Linked DNA regions of Astyanax mexicanus. The main gene of each other region encodes a partner of the protein of the gene in region 2 in a complex. Links are inferred from orthologs where the notes say so. Each region holds a gene or a part of one and is shown on either strand. Other genes may lie near its edges.

What was found. Proteins that work in one complex are often made in the same cells at the same time.
Region 1: the proteins of cstf3 (region 2) and cstf1 are in contact, whole or in part, in a crystal structure (PDB 6B3X), measured with the Homo sapiens proteins. The link is inferred for Astyanax mexicanus from reciprocal best matches to the Homo sapiens genes CSTF3 and CSTF1. Residues at the interface, in NP_001317.1 of Homo sapiens: Tyr581, Pro582, Lys583, Pro584, Asp585, Thr586, Gln588, Met589, Ile590, Pro591, Phe592, Pro594; in NP_001028693.1 of Homo sapiens: Arg118, Glu216, Ala217, His226, Pro227, Ser228, Asp230, Phe231, Thr240, Arg242, Leu243, Tyr244, Cys251, Phe252, Val253, Ser254, Cys255, Tyr270, Ser272, Ser273, Ala274, Asn275, Gly291, Val292, Ser293, Asn294.

The regions. Positions count from the first base shown.
Region 1 is NC_064431.1:32,787,593-32,791,349, reverse strand, and holds the start of cstf1 (cleavage stimulation factor subunit 1), read right to left. Parts: upstream 2,608-3,757; 5' UTR 2,523-2,607; intron 979-2,522; 5' UTR 967-978; coding exon 798-966; intron 1-797. UniProt on the Homo sapiens protein: One of the multiple factors required for polyadenylation and 3'-end cleavage of mammalian pre-mRNAs. May be responsible for the interaction of CSTF with other factors to form a stable complex on the pre-mRNA.
Region 2 is NC_064416.1:4,694,209-4,697,965, forward strand, and holds the start of cstf3 (cleavage stimulation factor subunit 3), read right to left. Parts: upstream 2,774-3,757; 5' UTR 2,674-2,773; coding exon 2,647-2,673; intron 1-2,646. UniProt on the Homo sapiens protein: One of the multiple factors required for polyadenylation and 3'-end cleavage of mammalian pre-mRNAs.

The DNA of each region.
Region 1 (3,757 bases), on a different chromosome or scaffold from region 2:
CACATTACAATCAATCACATCACCAATTACTCCATAATGCACTGTTCTACATTCCTGTTACCTTAGAAATATAATCATACATCATTATCATCATAATTAATCAGACCATTGATCGCATCATAACTTATCACCACATGACCAATCACATCATGATCAATCGTAATCGTAATTACCTCACACCATAATCAAATCACAACATAATCAACCACATTAGGTCATAAACGATCGCATCATAATCAATCACACCATAATCACATCGCAATAAATCACATCATTATCAGTAACATCACACCATAATAAATCAAATTGTAATCAAATCACATCATAATCAATCAGCAACAAGGGAAGAAGATAGAAGCTAGAATTTAGGCTACAGCTACACTAATTTAATAAAAACAGGCTAAACTAATTATTTGAATTACCACACATAAGAATATTAATTATAACAAAGCAGAAAACTCTTTCAAAATAAAGGTCTTTTTTTTTGGGTGAAAAGAGATTCCAAAAACTTACATTGTGTTCAGTGTCCATACATCTAATAACTGTCTCAATACGGTTATATAAAAATTAATATTAATATATTTTTTTTTTTACTTATTTTCTTATTATTACATACATTTTATTTTTTACATAAACAATTAAAGTAATTGTGCCTACTTTTGTTTCGGCACTTTTCTGGATATATTTAATTTAAATCTCAACAATGCATTGATTGACTAGAAAAACACTGTGTACACCAAACTTCTTTTACAGAAAACAGGTCGTTTCCTACAGGTTTCTTTAAATCTGAGACTCACCGATCTTGGCGAGCTGCATGAGCTGCTCTGATGGAGAAACCACATTCTGGGGTTTCACTTCGTTTATCAGGCTGTTGGCGATGTTGGTGTATCCATCATACAGCAGCTGACTGATGATCAGTTTATACAGGTGCTGTCGGTCTTTCAGTGTCGGCTTTGGGCGATACATCTCTCCAACTTCCTAAAAAAAACATCAAAAATCAAAATTACATATATTTTCAATATATTTTTTACATGTGCCATTACAAAAACATCATATATTACTTACAGTAGCATTAGGATGCACTAAATATGAAAATTCTAGTGCAATTTCTAATATATTTAATACATATTTAGCATGTTTATATTGGTGAAACCTTAGACATATATCTGGTTTGTTTTATTAACCACTTGATACATGCCAGTTTAATCAATTCATATTAGAAATATAAGAAACTGGCAAACAGTCAGCTAGGCTAGGCATTATTGTTTGGGTTTTAGAGATAAAACTGCTGATAAATAACCTCAGGACGAAGTTAAACACTTCATAAAATGCTTTATTTTTAAAATTATAAATACTAATTTTTAGAGCCTAAAGCTGCAGCGTCTGTAGCAGCGAGGCTAACAAGCTAACTAGCTAAAAGGCTAACAGCAACACAGCTGTTAATGGTTAGCTTAGCTTAGCTGATTGTTAGTTATATCATTGTTATATAGAGCTCTGGAAAAAAATAAGAGACCACGTAAAAATGATTATTATATTCTAGAGTTTTTCAATTTGGAAAAATCAAAGAAACTCTAGATGAAACTGAACTGCTTGAATTTTTGCACGAGGAGTAAAGCAGCATAAAGTTATCCAAAAGCAGTGTGTAAGACTGGTGGAGGAGAACATGATGCCAAGATGCATGAAACCAAAACTGTGTTTAAAAAACAGGTTTATTCCACCAAAAATTGATTTTTGAACTCTTAAAACTTTATGAATATGAACTTTTTTTTTTTTTTGCATTATTTGAGGTCTGAAAGCTCTGCATCTTTTTTGACATAATTTCAGCCATTTCTCATTTTCTGTAAATAAATGCTCTAAATGTCAATATTTTATTAGGAATTTGGGAGAAATGTTGTCTGTAGTTTATAGAAAAAAACAACAATGTTCATTTTACTCAAACATAAACCTATAAATAGCAAAATCAGAGAAACTGATTCAGAAAATGAAGTGATATCTTCATTTTTTCCAGAGCTGTATATCTAAACGCTTCTTAAATGAAACTATTGAGAAAGCTAGGTTAGTTAAACTACATAAAGTATGAAATGACCTTTATATATTTAACAGAATAAGTGATTTAAAGAGTTTAAGTATTTATTCAGTGTTTGTAGTTAGTTAGCAGGTGTTAATTAGCTACTAGTAATTTAGTTACTAAGCATTAAAAACAGTAATATTACCTAGATGTAGCTAATAAATAATAATATTAATATTCCTAATAATTCCACCACTATTTACTAGGGATAATAAATACACATCAATATCTTGAAGCTAAGCTAAGTTAACCCTTAATTACTGTGTTGCTGTTAGCCTGTTAGCTTGTTAGCCTCGCTGCTACAGACGCTGCAGCCTCAGGCATTACAAAATTATATTTCAATTATACGAAGCGTTTTATGAAGTGTTTAACTGCGTCCCAGTCCTCCTGTGGTTATTTATCAGCAGTTTTATCTCTAAAACTTAAAAATAAAGAAAGAAAATGAATGATTTACCTCAGCAGGCTAGCTAACGCCAGGTACCGCACCGCTTTACACTGTGGAACTGTGGGAAAAACCGCCCGCTATAATAAAAGTCCCCTTCCCTTAAACTTGCCCTTAACTTAAATCAGTGTGTTATTTCAACGCTTCTTAATGAAAGCCTCATTAAACCCTTAAATCTTTCTTTAAATATTAAATTTCCTTTAAATAATTGTCTTAAATATTGCATTTTCCTTAAATAATTATTCTTAATATCAAATTTCCCTTAAATAATTTTCTTTAGTATTAAATTTCCCTTGAATAATTATCCTAAATATCAAATTTCCTTTAAAAAATCCCTTAAGTATCAAATTTCCCTTAAATAATTATCCTTAATATCAAATTTCCCTTAAATAATTGTCTTAAGTATTATATTTCCCTTAAATAATTATCCTAAATATCAAATTTCCCTTAAATACTTTTCTTAAGTATCAAATTTCCCTTAAATAATTCTAAATATCAAATTTCCCTTAAATACTTTTCTTATGTATTATATTTCCCTTAAATACTTATCCTAAATATCAAATTTTCTTTAAAAAAATCCCTTAAGTATCATATTTGCCTTAAATAATTATCCTAAATATCAAATTTTCCTTAAATAATTTTCTTAAGTATTATATTTCCCTTAATTTTCTTAAATATTACATTTCCCTTAAATAATCATCTTAAGTATTTAATTTCCTTTAAACAAAAATCCCTTAAGTATAAAATTCCCCTCAAATAATTTTCTTAAGCATTATATTTCTCTTAAATAATTATCCTAAATTTCAAATTTCCCTTAAATAATTTTCTTAAGTATTACATTTCCCTTAAATAATCCTTTTAAGTATTTAATTTCCTTAAAAAAATCCCTTAAGTATAAAATTCCCCTTAAATAATTTCCTTAAGTATCACATTTCCCTAATAATCCCCTTAAATAATACATAAATATTCGTCATATAAAATAAGTGTTGCATAAAGTCCTTTAAAGATCTATTCCCTTATAATAATATTTAAAGAGGCACTAAACTCTAAATAATTTTCCACATTTTAAACATACCAGTTTTTTTCCGCATATTTATCTTTCTACAAATGTCTACTGTTGTTGTTAGTAATAATAATATAATATAATAACAGTGTGGTGAAATCAATGCACTTTTGGGCAATACACTGACAGCGTCTGGAAAAAAAAAGATTCGAGTAAATAATATATTGAGTAAATAATATATATC
Region 2 (3,757 bases):
TCATTTTCCAAAGGTCAAAGTGAGACAAGGACTTGAACAAAGCAATGCAGGACTAAATAAGTTATCAAACAAGCTCGGTGATGGATGATACTGACAAAAAAAGATGCAATAAACACTGTTGGAAATCTCAATATTCATGTAGCTTGCCTCTGAAACTGGGCCTTAAAACTAAATAGCTCTTATCTTAACATTGTTAAGAGAAATGGTGATATACACAATATGGTGAAAAACTTAAAGTATAAGGTTACAAAGTGTTAAAAGTACTTGTAAGACTGGATATTTAAAAATGTATTAATATTAAACAATGCTGCTCCTTTAGTTTTGATGTTTCTATGACACAATTAGCACAATATTGTACTGTATTGAGTGTCACCACTTCAGAAACCAAACCATTTTAACACAATATTATATTGCACACATCGAAAACAATATCATTTTGTATGAATCTTGTACCAGACAGTTTCAAGCACACTGATCTTTAAGATATATTTAGCTCTGGAAAAAAATAATAGAGCACTTAAAAATGACGAGTTTCTTTGATTTTACCAAATTGAAAACCTCTGGAATATAATCAAGAGGAAGATGAATGATCACAGGCCATCAAACCACCAAACTGAACCAATTTTCTCCAAATAAATGCTCCAAATTAAAATATTTTTATTTGGAGTTTGGGAGAAAAGTCAGTAGTTTATAGAATAAAACAAGAATGCTATATGATCATTTTTTATCATTTTACTTTATAAATAGCAAAATCAGAGGAACTGATACAGAAACTGAAGTGGTCGCTTAACTGTTTCCAGAGCTGTATATTGCCCAGTCATACCTTCATTTAAATTGTTTAGGTAGGTAATGCAATTAGATTTTCAAAGATTCTTTGATAGACAATATAAAGATATAGCAATAACTGTGATAACATTTATCTCTAAAATGGGGTTAAAGGCAGATCAAAGTCCAATTAAAACAAACAAACAAAACACACATTAATCTAGAAATGTCTTATAATAGCTGATACACTAGATCAAAACACATTAGCATCATTAAGTTCCACTGTAAAAAAAAAAAAAAACAAACAAACAGCACAATACACAGAAGAGGAGATAGCTAGCTAGATAAGAAGTGCACTATAAACTGAATAAGAGGCCAAAGCAAATCTACAAATCAACCCAAAAGCTAAAAACTGACTGAGTTTAGGCACAATTTGCAATAAAATGCATCTTGCTGCAGATTTTTTTTAACCTTGGTCCTAAAGGTGACAAGGAGCTAAGCTTTACCTTATTCAAACACAAATGATGCAATTAAGTTAGCTAAAGAAGGTGTGTTAAAGCAGGGAAAGCAATAAAATGTGCAGGGCAGCCTATGAGCCTTCAGGACCACTTTTCAGTAACACTGATTTAAGGCATTTAACTTAACATGTGTTTGTGGCCTGCACCGGATCAAAGAATTTTAAGTGTGCCTTAAAGTCAGAAAAATATGGAAAATGTATTTAAATATAGCTAGGCCTCTAACGATAATTACATTATCGACTTATCGTAAAATAATGGACACAACCTGATATTTGATAATTGTGATATCATCTATTGCGTTTATTTGTACGTTTTCTATTGTATAGAACAGTGAACAATATTTTAGCCAGTCATGCAATACCAGACCAATGCTTCAATAACTTTGACTCCATACACAGTATAAACTGAAGTAATTTAATAAAATAAAAATAAGTATAATACTATGATTAATTGCAAATTTTGTTTTGCTATCTTTAACATGCTGTCAGTGGCATTAAAATGACCTTAAAATGACAGTAATACTGTTTATTGCAATAGTTTTTGAGACAATGTCAAGCAGAAAATACAGCACATTTATCAATACAGAAATATATACACACTGCCTGGCAAAAAAAAAAACTTGACTTAACTGAGCAAATAGGTAAAAGACTCTCATTGGATTATTATTACTGCATTATAATAACTGGATTATAATTACTATAATTACGGCAACAAGTTACTGGATTTAATCCTAACTGATGCAGGGAGTAGCTTCTCATTTGTTAAAACAACCACGTGGAAAAGATAATAAAGTTAATATGTTTCAGAAGGGTCAATTTATTGGCACCAATAATGCAGAAAAAACATCTAAGGAAATTGTAGCTGAAAATACTGATTGGCCGCCACCTGAACGCCATTAAGACTCTTTGGCCAGGCAGTGCAAAACCATATATAAGTACTAAGTACATAGCATTTGAAGTTAGAAAATAAACCACAGAATAAACAGAAGCTAAATGGTCAAAACATCGCCTAATCGCATCACAGCAGTCCAAAAACAGCGTGTCTTTCGCTACAAACTCAGCTAGCTAACAAACAAACTATTTAACTGAATATCTACCTAGACCAATCAAAGAACACGTACATTATGCAGTTAAATGAATTTTTTATAAGTCCTACACGGGATTTAATGCCTAAAAAATGTTAAAAATGACCTCAAACAGAGACAAAAACAAGCAAGTCAATTCCAGCAGCTAGCCTAGCTAAACTAGCCATAGCTCGTATGCTAAGCTAAGCTAACTAACGGTCGCCCCAGCAACGGCACAGCTTCTTTAACCCGCAATTTAAGCCGTTCTGCAGCTTTATAACAGATTTACAGAATATTTACCTGGTCCGGGGCGCTTTCTGCGGACATTATTAACCTGCAGCGTTTATTATTTGTAAGATTTCCAGCCTGCAGATCCTCACAGGCTCCTAAAATGGCGAGCTCCCTCACCCCCGCTCTCACCGGACGCATGCGCAGACACATACAGAGAAACAGAGGGAAGAGGCGGGGTTTTGTTTGCCAGTTTTTGTATACCTTATTAAATTTTAATTTATCTCAAATTTAGTTTGTAACTCAAAAATAGTCATTTTTATATGGTCTCAGCAAGATATCTAAGCTCACAGAAAAAAATCTTTATTAAAAAAAATATTATATTCTGGTTAAACCGCAGGACTTTTAATTTCGCAGATCTACAAGTCATTCCCACTAAAACAATGGGTGAAGACATGATTTTTAAATCGATTAAAAGAGGTTAAATATTAACAATTCTACATGACTCTAGTGTATGGAAGCATAGATATCAAATACGTATATATATATAAGATATCTATGAATAGAATTCCCATTCCTGCCACCTAAAATATAAAATAAATCCAGCACATTTGTTTTATTATTATTAAGTAACTGCTGTCTCAGTATTTTGACATAGTAAGTCATAATTTTAAATGAACGAGTTAATGAATAAATGAAAGAATGCATTTTATTATGACTATAGCAAGTACAGTGAAATTAGAGGAGCTCATCTCACAGTGCAACATATACAATATAAAAATAAATAAATATGTACTTGCAGTGTAATAAAAAAACAGTTCTCGAATCTGTCTGTGTCCTTGAATAAGTTAAGGAACTTATTCATTATTTTTAGATAGATAGATATTATCTCATTATGTTCAGATCTTATTATCTCAAAATAATGACTTACTATCCCTGAAAATGACAAATAAAGAACTATAAAATACACTTAATATTCACGTTTAAATAATTAATTAAATAATGTCTCGATTATTTATTTATCAATTTATTCATATAATTAACTCATTTTAATTTAAACTATGTATTTCTCACTTAAATGAATTTTTATGTTTTCTTTTATTTATTTATATTATATTTTCACTAAAAAATAGAGTAAACATCTTATAGATAGTATAGTTTTTTTTTTAAAGATTATTAAAGT